Arabidopsis thaliana: one gene and its partner. The protein of the gene in region 1 interacts with the protein of each later gene in a pairwise test. Each region holds a gene or a part of one and is shown in the gene's direction. Other genes may lie near its edges.

What was found.
Region 2: the proteins of GSTT1 (region 1) and NET2C interact in a two-hybrid assay, tested with the Arabidopsis thaliana proteins (one large-scale study listed by BioGRID).

What each region holds. Positions count from the first base shown.
Region 1 is NC_003076.8:16,490,663-16,497,254, reverse strand, and holds GSTT1 (glutathione S-transferase THETA 1), read left to right. Parts: upstream 1-3,195; 5' UTR 3,196-3,370; coding exon 3,371-3,438; intron 3,439-3,537; coding exon 3,538-3,611; intron 3,612-3,771; coding exon 3,772-3,832; intron 3,833-3,920; coding exon 3,921-3,974; intron 3,975-4,042; coding exon 4,043-4,122; intron 4,123-4,201; coding exon 4,202-4,407; intron 4,408-4,510; coding exon 4,511-4,705; 3' UTR 4,706-4,980; downstream 4,981-6,592. Other genes in the region: GSTT3 (glutathione S-transferase THETA 3), read left to right, coding at 286-350, 432-505, 621-681, 756-809, 898-977, 1,070-1,275, 1,378-1,568, 1,654-2,695; AGL75 (AGAMOUS-like 75), read right to left, coding at 5,719-6,592. UniProt on the Arabidopsis thaliana protein: In vitro, possesses glutathione S-transferase activity toward 1-chloro-2,4-dinitrobenzene (CDNB) and p-nitrobenzyl chloride (pNBC), and glutathione peroxidase activity toward cumene hydroperoxide and linoleic acid-13-hydroperoxide.
Region 2 is NC_003076.8:3,302,544-3,308,609, forward strand, and holds NET2C (Kinase interacting (KIP1-like) family protein), read left to right. Parts: upstream 1-2,743; 5' UTR 2,744-2,874; coding exon 2,875-2,968; intron 2,969-3,043; coding exon 3,044-5,496; 3' UTR 5,497-5,566; downstream 5,567-6,066. Other genes in the region: MSL2 (MSCS-like 2), read right to left, coding at 77-190, 313-410, 545-668, 1,003-1,163, 1,243-1,299, 1,385-1,462. UniProt on the Arabidopsis thaliana protein: Plant-specific actin binding protein. May be part of a membrane-cytoskeletal adapter complex.

The sequences.
Region 1 (6,592 bases):
AAATATAAAACATTTTGTAGTTTGGTATATTGCATGTGTTTCATAGAAAGAAAAATATTGTGATTTCAACTCTTCTGGTTAAGGACCGGTTATGATTTGTTACTTCATTAATTTGATGGTGAAGGAGCATTTAGCCCAACCGGCCGGTTTAGATGTTTTACTCTCTATTGTGGAAACAGCAATCTAATTTGGTTCTGTGAGATCACTACTTGTCTTCTTCGCCAGATTATCGCCGTTCGTTCAGAGAAAACTTTTTCCGATACACAAAATCGGAGGAAGAAGAAGATGAAGCTCAAAGTGTATGCGGATCGAATGTCACAGCCATCTCGTGCTGTCCTCATATTCTGCAAGTAAACTCCTTCTTCTTCTTCCTTGTTAATTCGCAATTCAGCACAAAAAAAAAATTGATTCTAATTTTTTTTTGTTTCAAGGGTTAATGAAATCCAATTCGATGAGATATTGATTTACTTGGCGAATCGTCAACAATTATCCCCTGAATTTAAAGGTTTGTATAAATAATCAGCAAAAAGGTTTTTTTTTGACATGGGTGAATTCGGATTTCGATAAAAGTTGAAACTTGATTTGGTCTTTACAGTGAGATTTGAGTCTTTGTTTCTCAGATATTAACCCAATGGGGAAAGTTCCAGCTATTGTTGATGGCAAACTTAAGCTCTCTGAGAGGTTTTTTCTTAACACAAAGTTGCTTCCTTTGTATCTAAACCATTGTTTATGAATAATCTTAACCGTTTTCGCAGTCACGCTATCTTGATATATCTTTCCTCAGCATACCCAAGTGTAGTTGATCATTGGTAAGTTTTCGTTTGACACATGCATGTTCGTGATTGCAAAATGCAAAGTGTAATCATTTTACTTTGTTATTCGTTCGTTTACTTTTAGGTACCCGACTGATCTTTCCAAAAGGGCCAGAATTCACTCTGTTTTGGATTGGCATCACACCAATTTACGCCCTGGTGCAGGTATTACATTTTCATATTCATAACAATATCGGTATTGAGAAGTTTGTAGAGTCAAATAGGAATGATCAGTTTCATGTTTCTGGTTATTTCAGCTGGATACGTTCTGAATAGTGTACTAGGTCCAGCTCTCGGTCTTCCTCTGAATCCGAAAGCAGCTGCTGAAGCTGAGCAGTTACTAACAAAGTCTCTGACCACTCTAGACACTTTTTGGCTTAAGGGCAATGCCATGTTCTTGCTCGGAAGCAACCAACCATCTATAGCTGATCTGAGCCTTGTATGTGAACTAACGCAGCTGCAGGTACTAAAAAAAACATGTTCTTTATCAAACATTGTGGAGCAAAAAAGTTACCTTCTTATCTCTGTTATGGCTTTTGATTGTAAAATTTGTGTAATTTTATAGGTTTTGGATGATAAAGATCGTCTTAGATTGCTCAGCCCTCATAAAAATGTTGAACAATGGATTGAGAATACGAGAAAAGCGACGATGCCTCACTTTGATGAGGTCCATGAGGTCCTTTTCAGAGCCAAAGATAGATGTCAGAAGCAGCGAGAGATGGCAACCGCATCTAAACCGGGTCCTCAATCTAAGATGTAAGAACAAAAAACTTGACCACTTTCATCGGGGGAAGAAAAAACTTAATTTCTCATCCAATTTCATGGATCTTCCATAATACAGTATCCAATTTAGTACTATTGGTGAGAAGAGTGATGATCCAAACCTCGTTCAAAACACAACCGATCGTAGAAAACATAGACGCAAATGGAGTCGAGCTGAAGATGCCATTCTTATTAGTGCTTGGTTAAATACTAGCAAGGATCCAATTGTCGATAATGAACATAAAGCATGCGCTTTTTGGAAGAGAATTGGTGCATATTTTAACAATAGCGCTTCACTTGCAAATCTGCCAAAGCGAGAGCCGAGTCACTGCAAGCAAAGATGGAGTAAACTTAACGACAAAGTCTGCAAATTTGTTGGATGTTATGATCAAGCTTTGAATCAAAGAAGTAGTGGTCAATCTGAAGATGATGTTTTCCAAGTTGCATACCAAGTCTACACGAACAATTACAAGAGTAATTTTACACTTGAGCATGCATGGAGGGAGCTCCGACACAGTAAAAAATGGTGTAGTTTGTACCCCTTTGAAAATTCTAAGGGTGGTGGAAGCTCAAAGAGAACAAAGTTGAATAATGGAGATCGTGTATATTCTTCAAGCTCTAATCCGGAGAGTGTGCCTATAGCTCTAGATGAAGAGGAGCAAGTCATGGATCTTCCTCTTGGTGTGAAGTCATCGAAGCAGAAAGAGAAGAAAGTTGCTACTATTATAACGATTGAAGAAAGGGAGGCCGATTCTGGATCAAGACTTGAGAACTTGTGGGTACTAGATGAAGAGGAGCAAGTTATGGATCGTCCTCTTGGTGTGAAGTCATTAGAGCAAAAAGAGAATAAAGTTGCTCCTAAACCAACGATTGAAGAAAGGGAGGCGGCCGATTCTCGATCAAGACTTGAGAACTTGTGGGCACTAAAGGAGAAAGAAGAAAGGGAGGCAGATTCCCGATCAAGACTTGAGAACTTGTGGGCACTGAAGGAGAAAGACATAGAAGAGCAAAAGAAACTAACAAGGATGGAAGTCCTTAAAAGTCTTCTTGGAAGAACAACTGATCAACTTTCTGAAAAAGAAGACATTTTGAAGAACAAGCTCATTGATGAGATGCTCTAATCTCTATGTTCATCTCTGTATTTTAGCTATGTTTCATTGTATTTATCTCTGTATTTTCTCTAGGTTTATCTCACTATCTATGTTCAACATTTGTTTCACTTTCCAATTCACATCATGAAACGTTAGGAAAGAAAAGGAATGATCAGAGCATATGAAAGAAAAGCCCCTATTGTTTCATCAGCTTTTGGCTGGTTTGGTCTATGGAGACTCACTCAAATGCTAAGTTTCAAAGATTTCGAGATGCTTTTGATATTACTTTTGAAAGTTTCTTTGAGAAAATCAACAGGTTGGTATTATAAGTTTTTTGTAATGTTGATTATTTCATTAACGTCAACTTTATGATACAATTTTCAACTTAATGGTATTTAGTTCTCTAGATAACCAAAAAATGATGCATCTGTTTCAAAGAAAAACAAAAAAAATTGTGATCTCAAGTCTCAACTGGTTCTGGTTAAGGGCCGGTTCTGCCTTGTAATTGTATTGCTTTGATGGTGAAGAAGGAGCAATTAGCCTAACCAACCGGTTTAGAGAGGTCTTTGGTCACAACAGAGAAACAAAAACGGCACGGTGTTTTACTCTCTACTGTAGAAACAGCAAGCTACTGTAGAGACACTTCTCTTCTTGTCCATATTATCACCACCGTTCAGTGATCCACAAAATCAGACGAAAAAGAAGATGATGAAGCTCAAAGTGTATGCAGATCGAATGTCACAGCCATCACGTGCTGTTATCATATTCTGCAAGTAATTTCGTTGAACTTCCTTGTTAATTCCAGATTCAGCCAATTTTGTTTTCTCTAATACATGAGAATCTTTGTTTTGTTTGGATTTTATCCTTTGCAGGGTTAATGGAATCCAATTCGATGAGGTCTTGATTTCCTTGGCGAAGCGTCAACAATTATCTCCTGAATTCAAAGGTTCGTACAAATAATCAACAAAGTTTCAAATCTGAGTATTGGTAGATTTATGTTTAGTGTATATGAGATCATTAGTGTAGATTAGTGTAGACTAAGGCTATATATGCTTAGTGTTGTTTCTTAATGTAAATATTGTTAAGAAATGTGTCTTGTTCTTCAGATATTAACCCATTGGGGAAAGTTCCAGCTATTGTTGATGGCAGGCTTAAGCTCTTTGAGAGGTTAACACAAAAGTTCATTCTCTTTTGGGTTCTTGCTTTGGTTTATTGACCATTTTTTATGAATCTTAACCGTTGATTCTTTTCGTAGTCACGCAATCCTGATATATCTATCCTCGGCGTTTCCAAGTGTTGCTGATCATTGGTAAGTTTCTACTTCGTTTGACACAAAGTGTAATCATTTTGCTTTGATGTTCATTTGTTTACTTTTAGGTATCCAAATGATCTATCCAAAAGAGCCAAGATTCACTCAGTTTTGGATTGGCATCACACCAATTTACGTCGTGGTGCAGGTATTGTACATTATATTCATCGATGTTGAGAAGTTATAGAGTCAAATAGTTCTGATTACGGTTGTTTTTACTGTTGCAGCTGGATATGTTCTGAATAGTGTACTAGGTCCAGCTCTCGGTCTTCCTCTGAATCCGAAAGCAGCTGCTGAAGCTGAGCAGTTACTAACAAAGTCTCTGTCCACTCTAGAGACTTTTTGGCTTAAGGGCAATGCTAAATTCTTGCTCGGAAGCAACCAACCATCTATAGCTGATCTCAGCCTTGTATGCGAACTTATGCAGCTGCAGGTACTCACTTAATTTCACTGTTTTGTGCGTTTTTTTAATTCATCGAAATACCAATCCTTGCTATGTTTTGGCTTTTGATTGTAAAATTTATGCAATTTTGTAGGTTTTGGATGACAAAGATCGTCTTAGATTGCTCAGCACTCATAAGAAAGTTGAACAATGGATTGAGAATACGAAAAAAGCAACAATGCCTCACTTTGATGAGACCCATGAGATCCTTTTCAAAGTCAAAGAAGGATTCCAGAAGCGGCGAGAGATGGGAACCTTATCTAAACCGGGTCTTCAATCCAAGATCTAAGAACTTAGAACAAAACTTTGGCAAAACCGGTTTCAGGGGTCAGTCACTGGTTCGTTGAAGAAAAGCCGATTATCTCCTATTCTCCATTGTAAGAAAAATAAGGAATGTAATAATCACTTGTTTTTTGAACTATATGTAATAATCACTTTATCAAAGGTTTTTACCGAACCCGAGCATTTTGAACATCACAACATGAAGGTTTAGATTTATATGTAAATTATAGTTGAACCAGCTCGCAGTTTGTGCTGTCCATCTCACTGGCTTACTTCCTTTGGGCCTTAGACTGTTAGGATCGTTTTTAGCTGGTAAAGGTCGAGAAAAGTGGGTAGCTGCACTGCTAAAACTCAAAGGAAAGCAAGGTGGAAATATAATGGAAGTATGGAAACTTATGGAACCATCAGGAGATAGAGGCCAAGAGGGGTGGGAAACTGCAGCTGACATAATGGAAGGGGAGGGACTATCACAAGATAAAGGTCAAGAGGAGAGGGAAGTTGCTGCAGAGTGCAGACATTATGGTAGGGAAGGAATCATCATCACAAGACAAAAAATAACAGTAGTGTGAAGAGTCACCTGCACAATTTATCTTTAAGCTTGCAAACATTAGTGTCCAAACACCACCCCCACCCCCCCCCCCACCCCACCCCCACACACTGTTCTCATGTTTACTGAAACTGTAATGCTTATGTTGTTCCGTTTAATAAACATGCGATGATTATTATTTCTTAGAACAGAGAATCACTGAAACAGGTTTGAAAAGAGAGGATGTTATATCTGTGAATAGAAAAGACAAAGACAAAGTGGAGGAATCAGAACTCAGCCACGGTTATTGCTCTGTTGAGAGTCTATTGGAAATTTGGCTTTATTATGATAGAGAGCAATCAGAAATAGATAAAATTGGCTTTTAGTAATTAATGTTTCTAGGGATGATGATTCAAATTTATTACAATAGCTGAATACAGATCAACAACAACACATCAAATTGATTCAAGATGTTCTTAATAAATCATAAGAATTTAACAAAAGCCTGCATAACCGTAACCGTAAAGTTCATTCTGCATTAACTGATTCAACCAGGGGTTCTTCACAGATTCTTCTACCGCCGAGTAATGTTGTGTGTTTGAGACGCAAGGATTTTGAAAGCTGTTGCTATTGATGTTACCCATAGACATGTTTTGATCACAACCATAAAACTCCTTGTACATCAATTGATTCAACCCAAAGTTGTTGACAGATTCTTGTACCGCTTCTTTGTTTGAGACGCAAGGATCTTGAAATTTGTTGTTTGTGATGTCACCCATGCTCATGTTCTGATTCTGATCATAACCACAAATCTCCGGCTTCATTAACTGATTCTTCAACTCAGATTCTTCAAGTAACGCTGAGAAATAATCCTGATTGAAATTTGATGCAGAGACTGGGATCTGAGACAGAGTATTGTCTCCATGGTTATACATAAACAGCGAGAACTGGCTAGGGTTCAAAGATTGGGTGTAATGATTCAGAGAGGATGGTGTTAAACTCTGATGATCCGGTTTTGTCTGATTCTGTTTCTGCGACTCAAGAAATCGAAGCCTTTCTTGGAATTTAGAGACATGGAGTTCCAAGGACTGAATCAGTGGAGAAACTTGGTCGGGAGGGTAATGATCAGCGAGTGGATACTTTAAAATATTCACGTTCTTAAGACTCGTCTTCATCTTCTTGTTCGGATTCTTCAAACCCTTGTTCTTCTTCTTGTTCAGGAACCCATGAAGATTAACGCTTTTCTTGCGTCTCAATGCTTCGTTCAATAGACTATACCTAAGAGCAATGTCTCTCACTTTCTCTTTCTCCTTAGGCCATGTCTTAAGTTCTCCGTCTGGTCCGTAATAGATAACGCAGGCTTCGATA
Region 2 (6,066 bases), about 13 Mb from region 1:
CGTGATAGAAGCCACTAAAATACAGAAACATAAGATGAAGACGAAGTCTTGTATTTAAATTAGACAATACTCTTACCTGGATAAGCAGTAAGCAAATGCAAGTACCGTTGACAATGACCTCACAAAATTCAACAGTCGATCCTTCACAATTTTGCTAGCTTCTGTAGGAAGGACAACAGGATCTAATGCCCTATATAAGGAATAGTCACCAGCAATCAATTATCTCAACCAAGCACTTCAGATGAGGATACCACCAAAATATCTCAACAATTAAATCTCAGAAAGTCCCGAGGAACTACTTGATAGATATACCTGCAGATGAATAGAGCTCCTAACCATAGTAACAGAGGTTGAACATATGAAGTCATAACATGGTACGTACCACTCTTCTTCCAACCGTTATCATTCTTCTACAATGATTCAAAGGTAAAGATTCAGAATCTCATATAGAAAAGATACCACATTGATTTGAACTGAGACAACACAGAAATGAAAGCAGTAAACAAAAAAAAAGTGCATATAAACTTGAAATGGCTGCACCTACATTGAGTAGTATGTTTCTTCCTTGGCGAGCAAAAGGCACTAGACCCCACAGGGAGAAAACAAGAAGAGCAACAGCTGGAACCAATTTATATACAAAAGGGAATTGTTGCATCAACCCGTGTGACCTGCAAAAAACGGAATGCAAATAATTACAGAGTGCAATAAAAAAAGAAGAGAAATTACGAGAAACATAAATGCACCCCCTCAGATTTCCCCACCAAAAAAATTACAACTTCCCTAAGGGGAGCCATGGTAATGACAAGGCCTGCATACATCAATGTTTGGCTCAAGTCCACAATGTTTATGAGTAGAGTTAATTCATTCATTTTGAGTTAGATGCCCAAATATTACTATGCAATCATTCAGATCCATGAAGATCAACTAAATAAAAATAATGATAGTTTCCAATTTTACAAGGTGGTCATTCTGCATGTGATGATAGGAAACAAGGAGTCTTACTTTGTTAGCACCACGGTGACAGCTTTAACAGCAGGTTCAATTGCCTTGCCGCTTGCAGAAAAGGAATGACACCTAAAAGCGGTGGTTCTGCATGGAACTGAACAAATAGGCCTACGAAGGTAATTTGAGAGTAATATGTTGCTGAAACCATGTTGTCCCAACTATAAGCAGAAAAGTAATGTTACTAACTATCAGCAACCGAATTTGAAAGGCTAGAGTAAATTTTGTTTGAAATATTACCGGAACACCTAATGAGAGAGGACCATTTGATATATGCAGCCTCCTTCTCATGGCACTCTGAAAAATTGTACATTTTTCGAAAGATGAAGGGAAGAAATGATTAAAAGAAAAGGATGTCAGGGCTAAAATGGAAGAAACATACATTTTCTGGATTACAAAACCGTTGGTTTCTGCACAAACCCAGACTATGAGACAACTGCAATGTACCATAAAGGGCCATATTTTAATCAGATTCAATGACTTAGCCAGTAACGTTAGTGGCACCGATCATAAGCCTCACAGCCTAACGGAAAGAGACTAATGAATGCCAACACAAACTCTGCACCGTAGAAATGAAGCAGACCAGTTAAAACCTGTGTGTATGATTCAGATACAGCAAACAGTAGACCATTGAAAGTCTAGCTTCGGTGGGTGGAACAAAAAGTAGTAAAATTTGCATTTCTTAAACTTCCAAATCTCTCATTCACAAAACTGTGAGAATAGTTGAAGCAATTATAACCTATGGCAGTGTGATCCTTAAGATTCTTAGCAATCAACAAAATCTGCTACTGAACTGAGAACGAACTAGAGCTTACGAAAACACAAGACCATTCAATTTCGTCGGCGTGCCATATTCATTACCAGAGAGTAACCTAAAATCTACAACTTGGATTAAAATTCTCGATCACAATCCCAACTTAACTCAACTTAAAACAGCTAATTTTAACCTAATCTCATCTCGAGGAAACATCCAACATCAAAACTTACAAAGTTAAAATTCCTCATGAAAACCAGACGAAACCCGAATTCAAAAATCGGAGTTTACAATCGAAACTCGGTAAAGAACCATAAACATATTAAGGGTATAAAATACTTACCCAGTGAATCAAAAATCGAGGGAACAAACAAAATTCTAGGGTTTGAAGTCTTCTTCAGGGAGATTCTTCGAAGACAGGACGAACAAGGGGATTCGCATTTAGCAGACACAAGAAACGATGCCGTTTCGTATTGAGAAACGTTCCGTGTAAAGTGGAAAGTGGTGAACAAATTGCCACGTATTTCGACACGTCAGACTTGTTGCGGCTAATAGATTCGTATAAAAAATTGATGCTTGGGCATATTTATTTACAAAATCATCCTCATAGGAACGAATATAGAAAGAAAAACAAAGAACAAGTCCATGGTGATTTCAGGAATCAGGACCAACTATCAAATATAATGTACATATCTTAGAAATATCTTCTTAATGGAATGTCTATTTGTTTTTGCACTGTCCATGGTGATTTCAGGACCAACTATGATCTCACAATCTAATCTTAAAATAGAAGCCAAAAAAAAAAGAGGACGAGACTAGTTTGTTTCCGTTACCGTTTAATTAGTACGAGTATCAATGTATCATCAATCAACCAGCATTATGCTTTGGACTATTATTCAGATCCAATGTTGCATGTGTTTTAAATAGCAACTTATCATTAATACTATGTATCACCGAATCTTTCTCTACGCCATTCTCTATCAACAAGATTAACAACAATAATAACGAGAGAAAAAAAACACATCTCCTTTGGTTGTCATGAACGAAACCTCCAGAAAAAGATGAGATTTTGTTCAATTGATTGAAATTTTTTTCAAGAAAAAGATTAGAGAATAAAGATGCTACGAAGAGCTGCGAGCAATGCGTACTCCTGGTGGTGGGCAAGCCACGTTCGAACCAAACAATCCAAATGGCTTGAAGAAAACCTTCAAGGTTACATATTTTTACATTCCATATTATCATCATTTTTCACTTCTTCCACATATTTTTGATAAAATGTTTATGTAGATATCGAGGAGAAGGTGGAATATGCACTTAAGCTTTTGGAAGATGAAGGTGATTCATTTGCTAAGCGTGCAGAAATGTATTACAAGAGAAGGCCTGAATTGATAAGTTTTGTAGAAGAATCTTTCAAGGCTTATCGTGCTTTAGCAGAGCGGTATGATCATATCTCTAAAGAGCTTCAAAACGCCAACACCACAATTGCATCTGTTTTTCCTGACCAAGTCCCTGAGTTTGCCATGAACGAAGATGACGACGATGATGCTCCTGTCTCACCTAGACACCATAAAAATAAGACATCAAATAAGAATGTTCCAAAAGTTCCTGATTTGCCCATAAAAGACCCTGAGGCTGCCAAGAAGATGTTCATGTCAAGGAAAGCTATTCAAGAACAGAATGCCTCGTCCGTTGTTAACAAGTCCGGGCTGAGTAAAACCGAGGCGGTGGAAGAGATTGACAAGTTGCAGAAAGAGATTCTTGTTTTGCAAACTGAGAAAGAGTTTGTGAAGACTTCTTATGAGAATGGACTTGCAAAGTATTGGGAGATTGAGAAATGTATCATGGAGAAACAAGGGAAAGTTTCTAGTTTGCAAGACGAGTTTGACGAAGGTGCTGTTGTTATAGAAGATAAAGAAGCTCAGATATTGATGTCTACCACAGCTCTCAAATCATGCCAAGAGAAACTAGAAGAGCTGAGAGATAAACAGGAACAAAATGTGAAAGAAGTAGATGTTTCAAGAAAACAAATCAGTGAATCAACAGAGGAATTTGGTAATCTTTCTGATGCATTGCTTGGTGATGGGAAAGGAAACCATGAGATATACAGCGAGAAAGAGAAGTTGGAGTCATTAGGAGAAAAGGTAAATGATGAGTTTGATGACTCTGAGGCTAAGTCATGTCTTACTATTCCAGACGTGGCTGATAAAATCGATGAGCTTGTGAATGATGTGATCAATTTGGAGAATTTGTTCTCATCTCAAGCAGCTTTAATACACAGACTAAGAGAAGAAATCGATGATCTCAAAGCACAGATTAGAGCTCTACAAAAAGAAAACAATTCATCTCAAACTGATGACAATATGGACATGGGAAAGAAGTTGAAAGAGATGGAGGAAAAGGTGAATGGTGTTAAAGATATAGACCAAGAAGTTGAAGAAAAGAGTGACAACATTGATAAACATCTTACGAGAGCACATATGAAACTAAGTTTCTTATCCAAGAGATTAAAAAGCTTGACGCAAGAAGGGGAAGATGAAGAATTAAAGGCTACTAATGTGCCAATTCAAGATATAGGATCTTTGACTGATACAAAGTTTCCAGAGGAAAACATTGATGATACCGTTGTGTCTGAAAATGCTTTAGACATTAAATCAGCATCTGAGGTGGTTTTTGCTGAAAAGGATCTTTCCGATGAAGTTAACCAAGAAGAGGCTATTGAAACTAAAACAAAGGAAGCTTCGTTATCTGATTTAGAGAAACACATCTCATCACCAAAATCAGACATCATAACAACACAAGAGTCATCAGATGAGTTATTCTTGCAGAAGTTGCTCGCACATGGGATCGAAGGCAGAGAAAAACATTTGTTAACTGAATACACCAAAGTACTTCGGAACTATAAAGAAGTGAAGAAGTTGCTACATGAAACTGAAACTAAACTGAAAAATGTAAACACCTTGAAAGATGAAGGCAAGGATCAACAACGGGGCCAATTGTTCATGCTAATTTGCAGAGAAGATAATAACGCCACAAATGCAATAACTGGTCAAAAACAGAGGATGTCACCAAATGAAGAGCAATTGGGAGCACGAGTTGATGCATTACTAAGCGAGAACTTGAACTTATTGGTGAGGTTTAGCAACTCTTTTGGCAAAATACAACAGTTTGACACAGGGATCAAAGACTTACATGGTGAGATGTTGAAGATCATAAAACAAAAGAATCAAGATGGAGGAAAAAACACTCTGAGATCAAATGTTCGTCCCATATACAAACACCTCAGCGAGATTCGCACCGAAATGACTGTTTGGTTAGAGAAGAGTTTGCTTTTAAAAGAAGAAATCAACATCAGAGCTTCAACTTTGAGTGACATACACAATGAGATAACAGAAGCTCTCAAAACAGATTCTGAAGACTCTGAAATAAAATTTACAATCTACCAAGGAGCCAAATTCGAAGGCGAGGTTTCAAACATGAAGAAGGAAAACAATAGGATTGCAGAAGAGTTGCAAACAGGTTTAGATCAAGTTACAAAACTGATGAAGGATGCTGATACAACACTCGAGAAACTAAGTGAGGAGTTTTCACTTTCTGAATCAAACACACAGTCTTCGCAAGATCGTTCTCGTATTCCTTTGAGGTCATTTATCTTCGATAGAAAACCGAAGAAGCAAAGACTATCCCTTTTCTCTTGTATTCAACCTTCATTGTCTAAGATGAAGAAGCCTGCTGGTTCATAGAAAACTTTTACATATCTTTCCATGTACTACTACTACATATCAATTGTGTTAATGGATTTAAATCTTTTCTTATTTGCATGGGATCGTCTTTCTTGTTTTATGCACAAACGTAAACATCAATATAAGGCTAAATCTAGGAATAAGCATGTTTTGCTCCAAAGAGATTGGTCTAAAGCAAAGACAAGACATGGGCTTTTGAGTTGGGATTTTGATCTTCTTGCTGGATCCTCTCACTTAAAGGCCTATATCTTATTTGTTGTACGACGATTGCAAAACCTATGAGAATCCAATCATATTGTAAAAAAAATTACATATCCCCGTTAGTATTGGACTATTGAATTTGTTAAACAAAGTTCAAATTACGGTAATATTTTCAATTGCCTAAATAATATATATTGCAAATGTTTACAAACAGTGACTTCAAAACAAAGTAATGCACCAAACGTCAAGACAAATTCTACTTTGCATCTGATTTTTTTTTTACTTTTCAGTTTCTTGTGATTAGGCCTCAAATGTCAAAAAGAAAATATATACTTAGAATAATGTTGGTTAAGCTTGTGAATTACTTTA